Arabidopsis thaliana: one gene and its partners. The protein of the gene in region 1 interacts with the protein of each later gene in a pairwise test. Each region holds a gene or a part of one and is shown on either strand. Other genes may lie near its edges.

Region 1 (4,914 bases):
CATTCTCTGCTTCATCGGTTGCGTCAACTTGCATTTTTGTCTCCGTTAGATGAGCCTCCGTAGCTTCCTTCTCGTTCTTTGCCGTCAATCTCTTTGTCTTCCAAACCAAAATAAAAATAAAAGATTATAACAAAATGAAACTAATCAATAAGGAAATTAACGAGACACCAAATACGTCAAGTGATCATTGATTCAAGAAGACCCATGAGTCTCTGATCCGCTTGTTTCAGTGGCTCGAAACAAGACTCTTGTATACGCACCTGGCCAACAAAAAAGGCTTTGACATAGCTAAACCCTTCCTGGCATGTTACTGCCATGGATAAACAGTTAGTCTTCACTCGATCGGACAAAGACTTCGCCGGCTGTCGTGATGTCTCGGCGTCTTGCATCGCTGCTTTTTCGAGATAGATAGATTGCTTGAAACTTGAAAGCAAGACTAGGAAATATCTCACTTTCTTGTGCCAATGATGATTTTTTTTAACTATTAATGATTCTGGAAGCAACTCTTGCCACGTCTGTTTTACGTGTTAGCTGTAGAGATACCGACGTGTATTAAAGCAAGAGGCTATTTTACTTTGGGCCTTTTGGGCTTTTGGGCTGAAGAAAGAAACTGTCATCGGATCAACAAACACTGCATAGTTTGCAACTTGCACGGTAAAGCGACACAAAATCCATGACGTTTAATTTAGGTTCCACGTGAAGAACCATACCACATATCGTGCAATAAGAAACTGATCACTTTTATATACCTAAACGATTTACAATTTACACTACTATGCTTGACACGATATGTAATTTTTTTTTTTTTGCCAAAGGGTGTTGTTATTGATATTAAACATTGTACAATACAACGTACATAGACTGTTTATATAAAACAAGGACGTCTAGATAAAAAAAGCAAATAACAAATATTACAAGACTAGTTAAGGAAACAACAAACTGAGTAAGGTTTTATGTACAAAACAGAGACGACTACCAAAGAAGAGGGCCAGACGTGGTAGCAGTGATGGAAGACAAACATCCTGACATCTCAATAAGAACATTTATGGCTACTTCAAATACATATATACACAATATGTAATTCTCTTATTACATTTATGGCTACTTCAAATACATATATACAAAAAAAAAAGGCCTACCTTCGACAGAAGTTATACCAATTTATTGATCGGAAGCTACAAAATGTTATCTAGGGTCAATTTGTAGCCTATCTCTATATCAAAACCGATACGGATACAAAATAGTTTGATAATCATAGAATTTAACATTCTAATAAATATTTGTTTCTAGTATTCTTTAAATGAATAATCTTGTGTTCAATTAGTCTATTCATAGTAGAATTAAGTCTCCTAAAAAATAGATTGAAACCAAAAACAGCCGCACATGGATTTAATATCGACTTTAGTTAGGAGGTTTTGCTAAAAATAGTAAAATACTCACAAACTCACTTCTAAATACTAATCTTTTACACTCATGTCATGTGCTTTAAAGATATGAGAGAACCTTTCCTAGTACACCTACAGTCAAAATTTTCAAGATTCCGAAATTTTCTAGGTTTTTTGAGCAAGAGCCAAGAATCCCAAATGTTTGAATTTGTATTTTTGATCCAAAAATACTACAACATCGTATAAAGAATAAATCATACGTGTCAGAACGAGACATATGAAGATGATGAAAGCATTGAGCCGCCCCTCAAAAAATCCGTTCAACGTTTGAGAGTCAAGGCCACAAGGTCTGACCAATCTATCTCTTCTCCTTCTTCTTCTAATCATATTTTCAACGGTCAAACTTTTTATCACCTTCTCAGAAACTACTCTTCTTCATATGTGACCCTAAAAATAAAAACGAACAATTAAACAAAATTTTAAAATAATATAATATTCACCAATCAGACGTGCAATATGTTTTATATATTCAGACATAACCAACAAATATACAGAAACAAGAAGAAGAACAAGAACCATCACTTCTCTCATTTTCTTCTTCTCCAAGCCCCCCTCCTTTCTATATATATCTGAAATTGGTCTTTTATAAAACAAACTTCCATTTTTCGTATGGCTGCTTCTTTTCTTACAATGGACAATAGCAGAACCAGACAAAACATGAATGGTTCTGCTAATTGGTCACAACAATCCGGAAGAACATCTACTTCCTCTTTGGAAGATCTTGAGATACCAAAGTTCAGATCTTTTGCTCCTTCTTCAATCTCTATCTCTCCTTCTCTTGTCTCTCCTTCCACTTGTTTCAGTCCCTCTCTTTTTCTCGATTCCCCTGCTTTTGTCTCCTCCTCTGCTAACGTAAGCCTCTCTGTTTTTTTTCTCTGTTTCTTTTGAAATGAATCCAATTAGTGATGATAATCTGTGTTTGATGTATCATTGATTTAACATCTTGACAATGAATCGTGATCGGAAGTGATAAAGTTATGGGTCAACGGTTTCAAAGAGAGAGAAAGACTTTTAGAGTCAACTCTCGACTCTTTCTTAATTATGTTATTGCTATTTGTCTCTTTTCTTGAAGTCTGAACAATTCTTGGGATTGTTTTGCAGGTTCTAGCTTCTCCAACCACAGGAGCTTTAATCACAAACGTAACTAACCAGAAAGGTATAAATGAAGGAGACAAGAGCAACAACAACAACTTTAACTTATTCGATTTCTCATTCCACACACAATCATCAGGAGTTTCTGCTCCGACCACAACTACAACTACAACTACAACTACAACAACAACAAACAGTTCTATCTTTCAATCTCAGGTATGTACTTCATCAACAGCTCAAATCCTCTGTTTATGAGTTTTTCTATAACTTTGTTTTGAGTTTCAGGAACAACAGAAGAAGAACCAGTCAGAACAATGGAGCCAAACCGAGACTCGTCCAAACAATCAAGCTGTATCTTACAATGGAAGAGAGCAAAGGAAAGGAGAGGATGGTTACAATTGGAGAAAGTACGGACAAAAACAGGTGAAAGGAAGTGAGAATCCTCGGAGTTACTATAAGTGTACTTTCCCTAATTGTCCAACGAAGAAGAAAGTGGAGAGATCTTTGGAAGGTCAGATCACAGAGATTGTGTATAAAGGAAGCCACAACCATCCTAAACCTCAGTCTACTAGAAGATCTTCTTCGTCTTCTTCGACTTTTCATTCAGCTGTGTACAATGCCAGTTTGGATCATAATCGTCAAGCTTCTTCTGATCAGCCTAATTCCAATAATAGCTTTCATCAGTCTGATTCCTTTGGGATGCAACAAGAGGATAATACTACTTCTGATTCTGTTGGTGACGATGAGTTCGAACAAGGCTCATCGATTGTCAGCAGAGACGAAGAAGATTGTGGGAGTGAACCTGAAGCAAAGAGATGGTACAGATCATCATCACCCTCCAAATTTGCTACTCTTTGAACAATCTTGAATATGAAAGTTCTAAAATGTATGTTTTTTTGTGTTTTCAGGAAAGGGGACAATGAAACAAATGGTGGGAATGGTGGTGGAAGCAAGACAGTGAGAGAGCCGAGAATCGTAGTGCAGACAACGAGTGATATTGACATTCTTGACGACGGTTACAGATGGAGAAAATACGGCCAGAAAGTCGTTAAGGGAAACCCAAATCCAAGGTAATAACATAAACAATTGTGCATCTCAATAACTCAGAATTAAGGTTCTTGAGAATCTGACCTTTTGTTTTCTTTTCATTTGCTGAATCTTAACAGAAGCTACTACAAGTGCACAACCATCGGTTGTCCAGTGAGGAAACATGTGGAGAGAGCATCACACGACATGAGAGCAGTAATCACAACCTACGAAGGGAAACACAACCACGATGTTCCTGCAGCTCGTGGTAGCGGTTACGCCACAAACAGAGCACCACAGGATTCGTCTTCAGTCCCGATTAGACCAGCTGCTATTGCTGGTCACTCCAACTACACTACTTCTTCTCAAGCACCATATACACTTCAGATGCTGCACAACAACAACACTAATACCGGGCCTTTTGGTTACGCCATGAACAACAATAACAACAACAGCAACCTTCAAACGCAACAAAACTTTGTTGGTGGTGGATTCTCTAGAGCAAAGGAAGAACCAAACGAGGAGACCTCATTTTTCGATTCGTTTATGCCCTGAAGAAAAAAGGAACCAGTTGTTCCTTTTTTATGTTCCTTTTGTACATTTCTGCCACCAAAGGATTTTACTACTTACTAGTTATCCTGCAGGATAGTAAGTCAGACTTCTATAGTCCATAGAGAAATTTTTTCATTTGTTTTTTCACACGCCTGTAATATGTTTAATGTTTGTACTTTGTACCATAGAACTAGAACACGGAATAAAACCAATCAATTTTCAGTTTCTTCACTTTGAATAATGAATCAAAGAAGCACACACACACACACACAGTGACACAGGGAGACACAGTGACAGTCTGACAGACCCAAATAACAGAAGTTGATATCAGCTATAAGAACACATAAAAGAATTGACATTTACATGTATAACAAAGATCACAATGGTATATAACTACTGAAGCACATTATTGCAAAGAGATCTTCAGATAAAAGAATGAGTGGAGAGTTTGTAACCGGAGAAGAGAGCAGAGAGAGCTAAAGCAATGAATGCGAAGATAGCCATACTTATAGCAGAAGCAGCAGAATCAGTGAAAATGTTATCTTGACCTTCTCTGAATATGTTTGTCAATGGAATTGCAGATGATGCAGCTGATATAAGCAAATACGCCACAATCTGCAAATTTCACTTTTTTGCATAAAAATCATAACTTTACATATATAAATCTGAGAATTGATAATCAGTTTGTGGCATTACCTGGTCGCCGGAGAAATCGACCAAAATAGAAGTCCGGCGATCGAAAATTTCCCTTTTTGAGAAATGTGCAAATGTTTGCCACGCAGTGTATAATGTTGAAATA
Region 2 (3,727 bases), on another chromosome or scaffold:
TCGAAATAGGCACAAACAATCGAAAATCATTTAACAGAATAAACAAAGTCAGTCTTTTCTCGGTGGAACTGTGATGATAGCTTTTACAAATTTCATTTGCTTTCAGCTTCTTTAGGACAAAGCACTTCTCACTAAGCGGATGCAAGCATCAACAAGGCTGAAACCACCTCTCTATCTCGGACAGAATTAGGGTTTTTCTTCATGAAACCACACTTTGAATTCTCGATTTCTCTACACTGAGACCAAGCGCTCTTCTCCATCTCTAAGCTCGAACGAAACTCTTATTCAAAAGAATCTCCAATTCCGTCCGATTTGTGCTTCAAAATTAAAAAAGAATCATGTTCCCTCGTTTTTCTTCACCTCCAAAACTGGGCCTCTCTGGGCCTTAATTCGTTTAAAGCAGATGGGCTCTTAATGAAACTTCCCTTGACCATAAAATTTGACTCTTACGTTGTTGATTTTCCTTTTCTTCGAGTCAACAGGATCAATCAACATTGTCTTAGTTTGGTTGACCAGGCTCAACATTTGATTCAAAGTGACTTTTTTTCTTATGATTTTTAAGTTTTCAGAATTTAAAATTAGATAACTTCCTAGTAAGGGTGTTAGTTGGATACTTTTTTCATCAGAAATTTCATAGCAATTTTTTCTATCAGTTCCCACTGAAACAGCGAGAATCTAAGAAGAAAAGTGGACAAATGGAAATGAAGAAAGAGTTGTTCTGTATTTTACTCAAGCCTAAAAGGAATACTAATAAAGAAGGTTTCAATGGAAACACAAGAAAAAAAGTTCATAGAGTCAAATGGAAGCAAAGCTAAGGAACAAAGAAAAAACGTGAAGTGTGAAGAAAAAGGAGGGAAAAAATCTTCGCTTTTTGCCTACTTCCTTCACGCAACCTAAAACTAAAAGCCTATTAATTTTGTTCTCTTTTCTTTTTCAGATTGTTTTATATGTTGAACATTTCTATTTATCTTTGTCCTCCACTAATTAAATCGGATGCATGATGTATTCTCTCATATTAACAATATAAAATGTAACGTAAGAAGAAGTACTTTTTTAAAAGTAATCACAATCTCTAACAAACAACACCAAAAACTTTATCGCTTATATTATTATAATTACTCAACAATGTACGGATTTGAAGTCATTTAATTTTTTACTTTTCAAAATTTGAACCTCCATAAATTTTGTAGGGGAAAGTTCTGATGCCCTTCTCGTCACAGCATTTATTTCTTTGGGAAATTCAAAATTCGAAAATTCATAAAATCATGGACGTGTGGTAATTACGCTTATTACATACTATCATATGATCACGGCCAGGGATCAATCATTACGCAGTTGCCTACAAAGGTTATAACATTAGGTTTTCTTTTGTATCACATATCAATTCGTCAACCACGTCTAAAGTATATAACGTTTGTGTACAGAAAAATATATAGTGGGATATTATAGACTAGTGGAATGCTTTGAAAATATCAATTAAGTTGCTTGCGGAGTCAACAATGAACCGACTAAATGTTTCATTATCACGAATTATCTATATATGATGTTCCCAGGTATTGAATTGGCAACACTTCTAATAATGTATGGTTAGCTTGGGCGTTGACTTTGACATTATAATCATCTAGAAACAGTTTTAATCCGTATTCAAATCACAAATATTAGTGAATTATTAGCAACTAAACATATAATTTATTTTTTAGTCAACTTATCAACTAAAGATTCTAGACGTGCAAAGTCAAACAATAATAGCCACTTTGGTTAATTACTAAATTTAATATGTTGGCAAAAAATGTCAATAAAAACACACAAACACACAATAGGGTCTTCTTTAAATATATGTGCAGTAGGCAGACGAATGTCTTTTAGACAAAAACAAAAACAAGCTTCTCTTCTCTCTTCTCTTCTTCTCTTTAGTCATCTCAACCACCATGAGTCACCAGCAGCCGCCGAGCTATGCCACCGAGCCAAACACCATGTTCGTTCAAGCAGACCCCTCTAATTTCCGTAACATCGTCCAAAAGCTCACTGGAGCACCACCCGATATCTCCTCCTCATCCTTCTCCGCCGTCTCAGCCGCACACCAGAAGCTTCCATTAACTCCCAAAAAGCCAGCGTTCAAACTCCACGAACGGCGTCAATCATCAAAGAAAATGGAGCTTAAGGTCAACAACATCACAAACCCTAACGACGCTTTCAGCCATTTCCACCGAGGATTCCTCGTCTCTCCCGTCTCTCACCTAGACCCATTCTGGGCGCGCGTGAGTCCACATTCAGCGCGTGAGGAACACCACGCGCAACCGGACAAGGAAGAGCAAAAAGCCATAGCGGAAAAAGGGTTCTACTTCCTTCCGAGTCCGAGAAGCGGCTCCGAGCCGGCACCGGAGCTTTTGCCCCTGTTTCCTCTTCGTTCTCCTAACGGCACTAATCACCGGATTCATGAAGATAATCATCGAGACTCTTAGTCTTAATTTAGAACGTATAATTTGAGTTTTAGGCTATTTAATCGTAAGTTGGGGACACGTGATATTTGCTGTTGCTTTTTACTATTTTTGTTAGGGCTAGTTAATATCCGTTTTCCATTTAACCTAGACTTTTTTCATCCTTCATTAAACTTTTTCTTCAAGGGTCAACTATTTCGGCGCGTGTACTCCACTTCCTTTTGGAATACAAAAAAATCTTATTCTATACGCGGCAATTACTTACATTAGTCAAGGAAGACATCATTTCACGAGCATATAAATCAATGTCTTTTTAGATCTTTTATCTAACCATTAATACGTGGGATCCAAAACACAAGCTATCTAGTTTCTAAATTTCTTGAAAAAAGATAATATAACCACAATGCTCAATTTTCTTTTGGAAAGTAGTACTTTTTGACAAGTCTACAACGATCAAGCTAGCGTAATCGTCTTCGTATCTTAAATTTTTCCTTACAATAAAGTTGATGATGTGTGTATGGAGATGAATGAAAAGATAGGCTAAATAGGCCGACTTATAATAGATACAAAAATGTGTTGACTTTTTGGTTAAGAAAGAAACTAAAGAAGCTAAATTCTCTGTACAGTTTAACACTGCTCCAATTCAATTGTTTGTGTGTGTCATAAAGCTGCCAGCCGTTGGATTTAATGACAAAGCTGTGACGCAGAACGAAGCGGCGCCTATTTCCTCTGCAGATTCAACGGCTACGATTTAATTCTCCTGCTGAAAATATAATGCACTTTTCTTTTGTATCGATATTAAATAGATGTTACTTGTAACAGAGGGTGTCTCTGCATCTCTCTTTAAAGTCTGTTGTCAGTCTATCTTCGAACTCTGCCCCTCAGGTGTAATCCATATTTCAAACCTCTGCTCTAATCCTAGCCATCCATTTGTCTCAAGTCCCATCCAAAAGCCCATTTAAAGATCAAAAGTTCATCATTCAAAATCTGGTCTATTTGGGCCTCGAGTAAAAAAATTAATAGGACTAGTCTATGAAACCCATTAAAGTTCTTGGATACCAAAATCAAGGCTCCTTTAATAAACTTTAAAAGTTTTGTGTCGACACATGTTTCGAAAGTTTGTTTGCTTGCAATTATATAATTAGATCAGTTTTGTATAGAGAACCTAAAAGTTCAAATCTTCCTTTTGAAGTTTTGTATAGAGAACATAAATATTTGGTAAAGTGACACTGAATAAATACAATATTTCTTTATTTTGTTGTTCATGAAAAGATTTGTAGATTGACACA
Region 3 (3,514 bases), on another chromosome or scaffold:
GTAACACAACTATTAACAATGATGGATATAGCTATAGCTAGTTAATATTAAAACATTGGATATCATATTATATGACACTATTGATCGTTATGTCATCCAAAAAATAAACTGATATTTCAATGAATGAGATTGGAAAAATATGACATATATCCATTACAACTCATTATAATCATATTACCATATCATTTTAATGTTTATGAAATGTGAGTCCACCTTTCATAATCTAACGTTTTGAGAAGTTAAAATGTAATTTAGCCATAAAGTTTTGAAGGTATATATCAAGAACATCGCCAATAAAACAGAACTTTATTCATTTATATATTCAAATCGAAACTCTTTTAGAGTCATGTAAGAATCATTTATCATTATAGTATTTCGTTAATTCAGTTTAATGGAATTCATTTTTGTTTTATCAAACAATTTGTTGTAAGTAACATGACTTATATATGAATTAACAAACAAAATAATTTGACGAAAAAAAATGAACAATCTAAAAAATTCAATCACAATATCATTCTCGCTTTTCTATATATAAAACTTGCACACGCACGCGTGAGTACAACGTTACACCATTTTTAAGTAGAGTTTTCACATGATCGGAGATCAAAACACAAACTTACTTTTTCTTGGCAAAATCAGTCTACAAACTCATCACTACACTCTTTCTTGGTAAATTAAGTCAGTCTAACAAATTAAATCAAAGGGCACCCAAGCCCAAAAAATCCAAACATTTGTACATATATACAAGTTATGTATGTTCCTACCTATATAGATGATCATCGTCTCAACCTTGGTCTTGTCTTGACCCATGTCTTGTTATGCTCCATATCGAATAAATGATCAAATCATCATCAAAACCAACAGGACTTACGATTAGTAGAAACCCTACATATTAGGGTAAGGTGTGACCAAACTAATTATTGTTGTTGAAGATCAAACCATCGACTTGAGAATATGTTGTCGTCTTCATCAAGATCGATCAAACCGTCAAAATCAAAGTAAGTATTTGTGTTTGAACTTGATCCCCATTCTTCCTTCACCACGTGGCTCCCTATTATTCTGTTGTCCAGTTCAGCCGTATGTTCTTGGCCGGAATCTTGAGGCAAACCCGGTGGCGCAGGAAAATTTGTGTTGGTTATCTTTTTCTTAGAACCGGTTTTGGTGATCTCCGGTTTCCCGGTTAGACTTTGGACGAGTGTGCGGAAGTTCTTGACATCGGTGTTGATGATCTCGGGAGCAAATATATGGATGATACGGATCTTAGGCTTGATCTTGGTTATTATTTGGGAGTTCTTGTTCATGGGAACCAAAGTTTTTGAATAATCACCATAAAAGGTTTGATGAGGAAGATGATCTATATCGTACTCAGCCTTCATAGAATTTCTCACCATATAAACGTAAAAAGAAGATGAAGAAGCGAAGATTTTGGGTTTTTCTTTTTTGGATTTCAGGTTTCTTGTATTGTTTTGGGAAATGATATGCATATGTTGTGGATTATATGTCTCTATATATATACACAAAAAAAACAAAATGTGAATATACAGTTTTATTGTTGGTTTGTAAAAAAACATTAATAAAATACTATTTCTTAAAGACAAACAAAATGAAAATAGTTAAAAATATAAGACGAAATAGCTATGGACCTGCCTTCCATTACACACTTTTCAACAACTTGAGTTAAATAAATTGTAATTTAAACAAAAAGAATGATCTGTTTCTTTTACGCTATCGGAATAAAATGGTTTTTAATTTTCCAACTGATGATATATCATATAATCAATTAGCTATATAATTAAGTAAAAACATACATATGAGTAGATGGCGTGAGCGATGTTTTATTTAATATATGTGGTTGACTATATAATATAGGTCGTCGACTTAACCTTTGGAGGTGAATTTGACTTTGTTTTATTTACGAATTTGTTAAAATGTCCTTTACCAAAATAATAATAATAATAATTTGTTACATGGCTTATGGAGATAGGGTTTCTTGGAGTTGTACATATATTTTAAAACAATCTTTCACTACATATGTGAAATTCGTCTTAGTAATTTTCACGGAGCATATGTGAAATGTAATTATTTATTGTCTATGGTAAACATCGTTAATAGTAAAAAAATTACATTTGTTTCGGAATTAAGAGATTAGATAAACCGACAAAAAGAAAAACAAATTCCGTGTGCCCTATACTAATAACTTAATAAACACGACAGATACTCGTCGGACGTGATATGTGACTCATCTGTACACGTGCAAAGCTTTTTGTTTTGATGTTTTGATTCCTTGGATCAAAAATCCAAAATTGTTTGACCCAAAAAAAAAGATTAATTAATTATCCAAAAAAAAAGCGGCCACTAATCATATGGAGAGGTCACTAGGTCAGACAATTTCGTTTATCCAAACTAGTAAAATAAGTATAATTAGTTACATCAATCGATTTTTTTTTGTTCACTACTTGAATGTTGCATCAACTGATTTAAAGGTCAAAGTTATCTATTTAATTTAAATAGATCATAGTTTGACATTAGCGTGTTTCGGTTATATAAAATTTCAAGAATTTGACATTTGTAGTTAACAATAGCTGTATGATATTTTTGTAAGAACAAATCGTATTGTTTTGGTCATTATTTAATGTTGATACGCGGGATTGTTGACTTACTCTCCTTAAAACTAGTGAAACAAATCTCCCTATACTAACTACCATGTGTTGAATTATACAACCGTTGATCCAACTTTCTTTGGATGCTTTGAGTTTCTACTCGATCAATTTGTTTTTCACATCATGATAAACTAACTTGTTTTACGTCAAATCCTTTATTTTCAGTTTGTTGTTGTCTAACAGGGAGATGTTTTTCGTATTATTTATCTAATGTAACTATTAATTGTTGCTAACCAAAATATCATTTGATCCTAAACCTAAACTAAAAGGGCAGAAAATTGCTTAGAATCACTAGTGTCTCAATCATTGCATAATTCATACAATTAGATGTTTTAGAGTGCATTGGTAGAAGGATTTCACCAAAACCACTGGCTCCTACCATCCTATTTTTTAGGTGATGGTGTTTTGATTCAAGCAGGTCTGGTTAGAAGACATCATCAAGGGTGAAGAGTTTTGTTAATGACAACTATATAGTAGAGCTATTATTATTATTAATTTGTAGTACTAGTTTAAAACCACAATTAGTCGAACAATTGGGATTCTTTTGTAAGAAGCAAAATCAAATCATCAAAACTGAAAATCAAAAGACAGATACATGCGAAAAGGTCCAAAAACAAAAATTGGTTAAAAATCAAGTTTTAATCATCTTATAGCCCAAGATTCTCAGCCCAATTTTGTCTTTGTTGGTGGGCCTTGTATTCACTTTTATTTTTATTAGAGTCAACCAGATCAACAGACTACAGTCACCACTCACCGTATCAGAAAGTCGAGAAATGAAAAACGTAGAACAAATCATTACACTTACGTTTATTTCATCAATTATTGTATCGAAAGTAGACAAAACTCAAAAGCAA
Region 4 (3,214 bases), on another chromosome or scaffold:
ATCTAGAAGAGAGCAAAAGACTCGTGTGTGTTCGACTCTGAGTCTCTGACGCACTCATTTGTACAAAAAGCTCTCAGACTACAAAACCAAATCCTTTCCGTTGAGTTTCAAGCTCACTCTCTCTCTCTCCATCTGTCTCCCTTTTCTGTTACAGCCGTTAGATCTCTTTCATATCTCTACTCTTGATCCGACGGCCATTATCTATTGTATCATATCTTGTAGTGCATGATTAAAATGATTCACCATTGTGTCTATTTCCGTGTGGATCTCAGCAACATATAGAGTTGGCAAAAATGTTCTGAGGCAAAGTTAGATTGTGCAACAAAAAACTAGTGGTTTATTTAAGGTTTAGTACTATTTTTAACAAGGAGGTTCGACACACGTATATGTTCTCTAATTAAGGTTTTGTTTGTTCACGTATTTTAAGTAGTTAGCATAGATATCTATAGCTAGGATACTAGTTGGCTTTATTAACTTATTTTTCTTGCAAAGTTGTCATAGAGATATTAATAATACTATACTATACTATATGTGTAGCTATGCATTTTGGTATATTTTTTTTCTTATTCGTGGTTGATCACTAATATTTATGAGGAGCTTGCTGTATATAGAATTTAATTATTAATGTTTAGATAATGTATATATGTGTTGGATGATCAAAAAAAGAAAGTGTTAATTATTAAATATTTTTCTGTGTTGGTATTTTGATAAAGAGAGAAAAAAAAAAGGGTGAAGAATAGACGTCAGGAAGTGAAACTGCCTCGTGCATTAAGAGATAGAGGACGTGATCAGACGACTAAAGGTAAAAAAGCTAAGTGAGAGTCACCGCAGAGTCATGCCATCTCCATGTCTTCACATTCTACTTTTCCTTTATATTATCTCTATTTGCTGATTAACTTGTTTCTTTTGTTCCTTTAGTTACTTTTATCCAAAAAAAACTTTAGTTGATTGCTTCCTTAATGCAAACTCAGTGAATAATTAAGATATACATGTGTAACAAATTCACAATGACAGTATTCTGCATGTATGAGTATATGTTTTTGGCTGATACAATTACACCAAACATGAATCTGATGTAAATTAGAAGTGCAGACAATGATATGCAAAAATTGACCTCTATTATCAACTAAACGTTATAATATAAACGAATATTGTTTTGTTGCAAATATATAAGACCAATCATATAAGTTTGTTGAGTTTGTGTGTCATGGTGCCAAGTTTGTGAAATCCTACTTATCTATGCCACTTGCATTTATCTATACACAAGAACGCATATATATTAATATAGGCTCAGAACAGAAAAATTCCAATATTACGTTAAATATTAAAGAAAATACAACATGAATATTAATTTGGTTTGTGGGAGGAGGGGACCAGTGTGCTTCTTGTTCCTCTATTCCATGTCTTAAGAAGCTAGCATACTAACACATCTTTCTCATAATACAATAGTTACATGTAATTAGTTTATTCCAACTAGTTTAAAAAATGAAAAATTAATTTAGTCCAACTAGTTAGTTTCTCCAATAAATGTATATATCAACAAGACCAGAGATCCATTTGTTTAAAATATAGTTTTCTTACTATTAATTACATGATGGCTATAAATTTATAATTTTGGATCGTGTTTTGAGTACAATTATCAAATAGATAAACAAAGTGACCATTAAATTATTTGCCTATATCTAGTTCATATATATTAAGTACTCCCCATAGCACTATTTAAAAGGATATAATTAAGTTGAACAGAAAAAGTTTAAATTATTTTGTTCTTTCATACTTATCATTTCCTCTCCTTCTATATAACCTTCAAATATCTTCACTTACAATCAAATTCACCAACTCTCTCTAGCCCTTTCTCTTTTCTCTCTCTCTCTATATATTGCTAAACAAAACCCTACTTATTCTAAAAATGGAAGCCACGATCTTCGAGAAAAGAAGAAGCTCGTTATCAAGCATAGCGGTGCACAAACAGTCATACTCGATAACCAAATCAAAGCCAAAGATCCGTATAATTCACATATTTGCTCCGGAGATCATCAAGACCGACGTTGCCAACTTCCGTGAGCTCGTCCAAAGCCTCACCGGCAAACCAGACGACCAGAGAACTTCCAAGGCAAAACCTAGAAGAGATATGCATCGTCTTCATCGTCAAGTCCAAGACATGATCAACACGGAGAAACTAAGAGAACCCGAGCATTGTGATCAAGAGTTCTGCTTAAACGCAGAAGAGCTCTCGATGACTTGGAACGGTAATAATGGCGCTGGTGAAAGCTCTGGAGGGTTCTTGAATGGTTTGGGAGATTTCGAAGGGTTTATTCAAGAACTTGGTGAATTTCCTTATTTGCCCTTGTCCTCCATTGATGCTTCTGCTTCTTCTAACTCCTCTTCTTCCTCTCATTTACATGGTGGATCAGTTTTCTCAGATCAATTCGCTTAACTCGGTCTCTCAAAGGATGTGTAACCTTTTTCATCTTTTATTTTGTTTACTAGGTTTTTGTGGAAATGAATTTTTAATTTATTACTTTTTTTTTTGTTTGTTTAGTATGAGGCTAATTGATTTAATGAAATTAGCTGAGACTCCTTTTATTTCTCCCTTAAGGTCTTTATGATTTGTCCATTGTCTTCAAAATGTAATGTACACTGATAAATGTTGTGTCTAGCTTTTGCTTTCTTGGACGTCCTCTAAGCATTTACAATGTTAAATGTTTCATATATATCAGAGTGAAAACATTCACTAATAAAATCAACAGAGGCAAATTTTGGCAATCGAATGAGACAAAAGACGAAGTAGATTTAAGAAAAGAGGTCTCAGTGTGTCCGGAGATATACTATAGTGAGGTCGGTAAGTTGTATACACTTTTTGTTCTTACATTTACAGAGAGAATCAGAGTAACAAGAGAACCTGTTTTTAACTGTTGTATTCAAGATTCTCTACAACACTCGATGAAGACATCGGAGACGATGTTTCCACCCTCGTTAGAACTTCAGGCACTCCTGCGGTATCTCTTACAATCTACATAACAACAACCAAAAGACTCGTTTTATAATTTTCTGTAAGCTCCAACTTGTATCATCATAACATTTCAGGAACTTACAAGAATCTCGTCGTCTAGATAAGATATCATGAAGAATCTTTGGTAAGTTCCACCTGAAAGTCAATAACAACAACACTACTTGGTTACAATGTTACATGTGAGGAGTGGAAAATGTTAAA

The links.
Region 2: the proteins of WRKY33 (region 1) and AT1G80450 interact in a two-hybrid assay, tested with the Arabidopsis thaliana proteins (one study listed by BioGRID).
Region 3: the proteins of WRKY33 (region 1) and AT3G60090 interact in a two-hybrid assay, tested with the Arabidopsis thaliana proteins (one study listed by BioGRID).
Region 4: the proteins of WRKY33 (region 1) and AT3G58000 interact in a two-hybrid assay, tested with the Arabidopsis thaliana proteins (one study listed by BioGRID).

What each region holds. Positions count from the first base shown.
Region 1 is NC_003071.7:16,106,422-16,111,335, forward strand, and holds WRKY33 (WRKY DNA-binding protein 33), read left to right. Parts: upstream 1-1,813; 5' UTR 1,814-2,054; coding exon 2,055-2,297; exon of another isoform or gene 2,298-2,546; coding exon 2,547-2,753; intron 2,754-2,822; coding exon 2,823-3,355; intron 3,356-3,445; coding exon 3,446-3,607; intron 3,608-3,703; coding exon 3,704-4,118; 3' UTR 4,119-4,345; downstream 4,346-4,914. Other genes in the region: AT2G38465 (uncharacterized protein), read right to left, coding at 1-97, 261-389; AT2G38480 (Uncharacterized protein family (UPF0497)), read right to left, coding at 4,539-4,730, 4,812-4,914.
Region 2 is NC_003070.9:30,242,890-30,246,616, reverse strand, and holds AT1G80450 (VQ motif-containing protein), read left to right. Parts: upstream 1-1,667; 5' UTR 1,668-1,928; coding exon 1,929-2,462; 3' UTR 2,463-3,187; downstream 3,188-3,727. UniProt on the Arabidopsis thaliana protein: May modulate WRKY transcription factor activities.
Region 3 is NC_003074.8:22,188,735-22,192,248, reverse strand, and holds AT3G60090 (VQ motif-containing protein), read right to left. Parts: upstream 1,468-3,514; 5' UTR 1,392-1,467; coding exon 918-1,391; 3' UTR 501-917; downstream 1-500.
Region 4 is NC_003074.8:21,473,041-21,476,254, forward strand, and holds AT3G58000 (VQ motif-containing protein), read left to right. Parts: upstream 1-1,829; 5' UTR 1,830-1,909; coding exon 1,910-2,437; 3' UTR 2,438-2,710; downstream 2,711-3,214. Other genes in the region: PGL34 (plastoglobulin 34kD), read right to left, coding at 2,909-3,013, 3,096-3,148. UniProt on the Arabidopsis thaliana protein: May function as negative regulator of plant defense.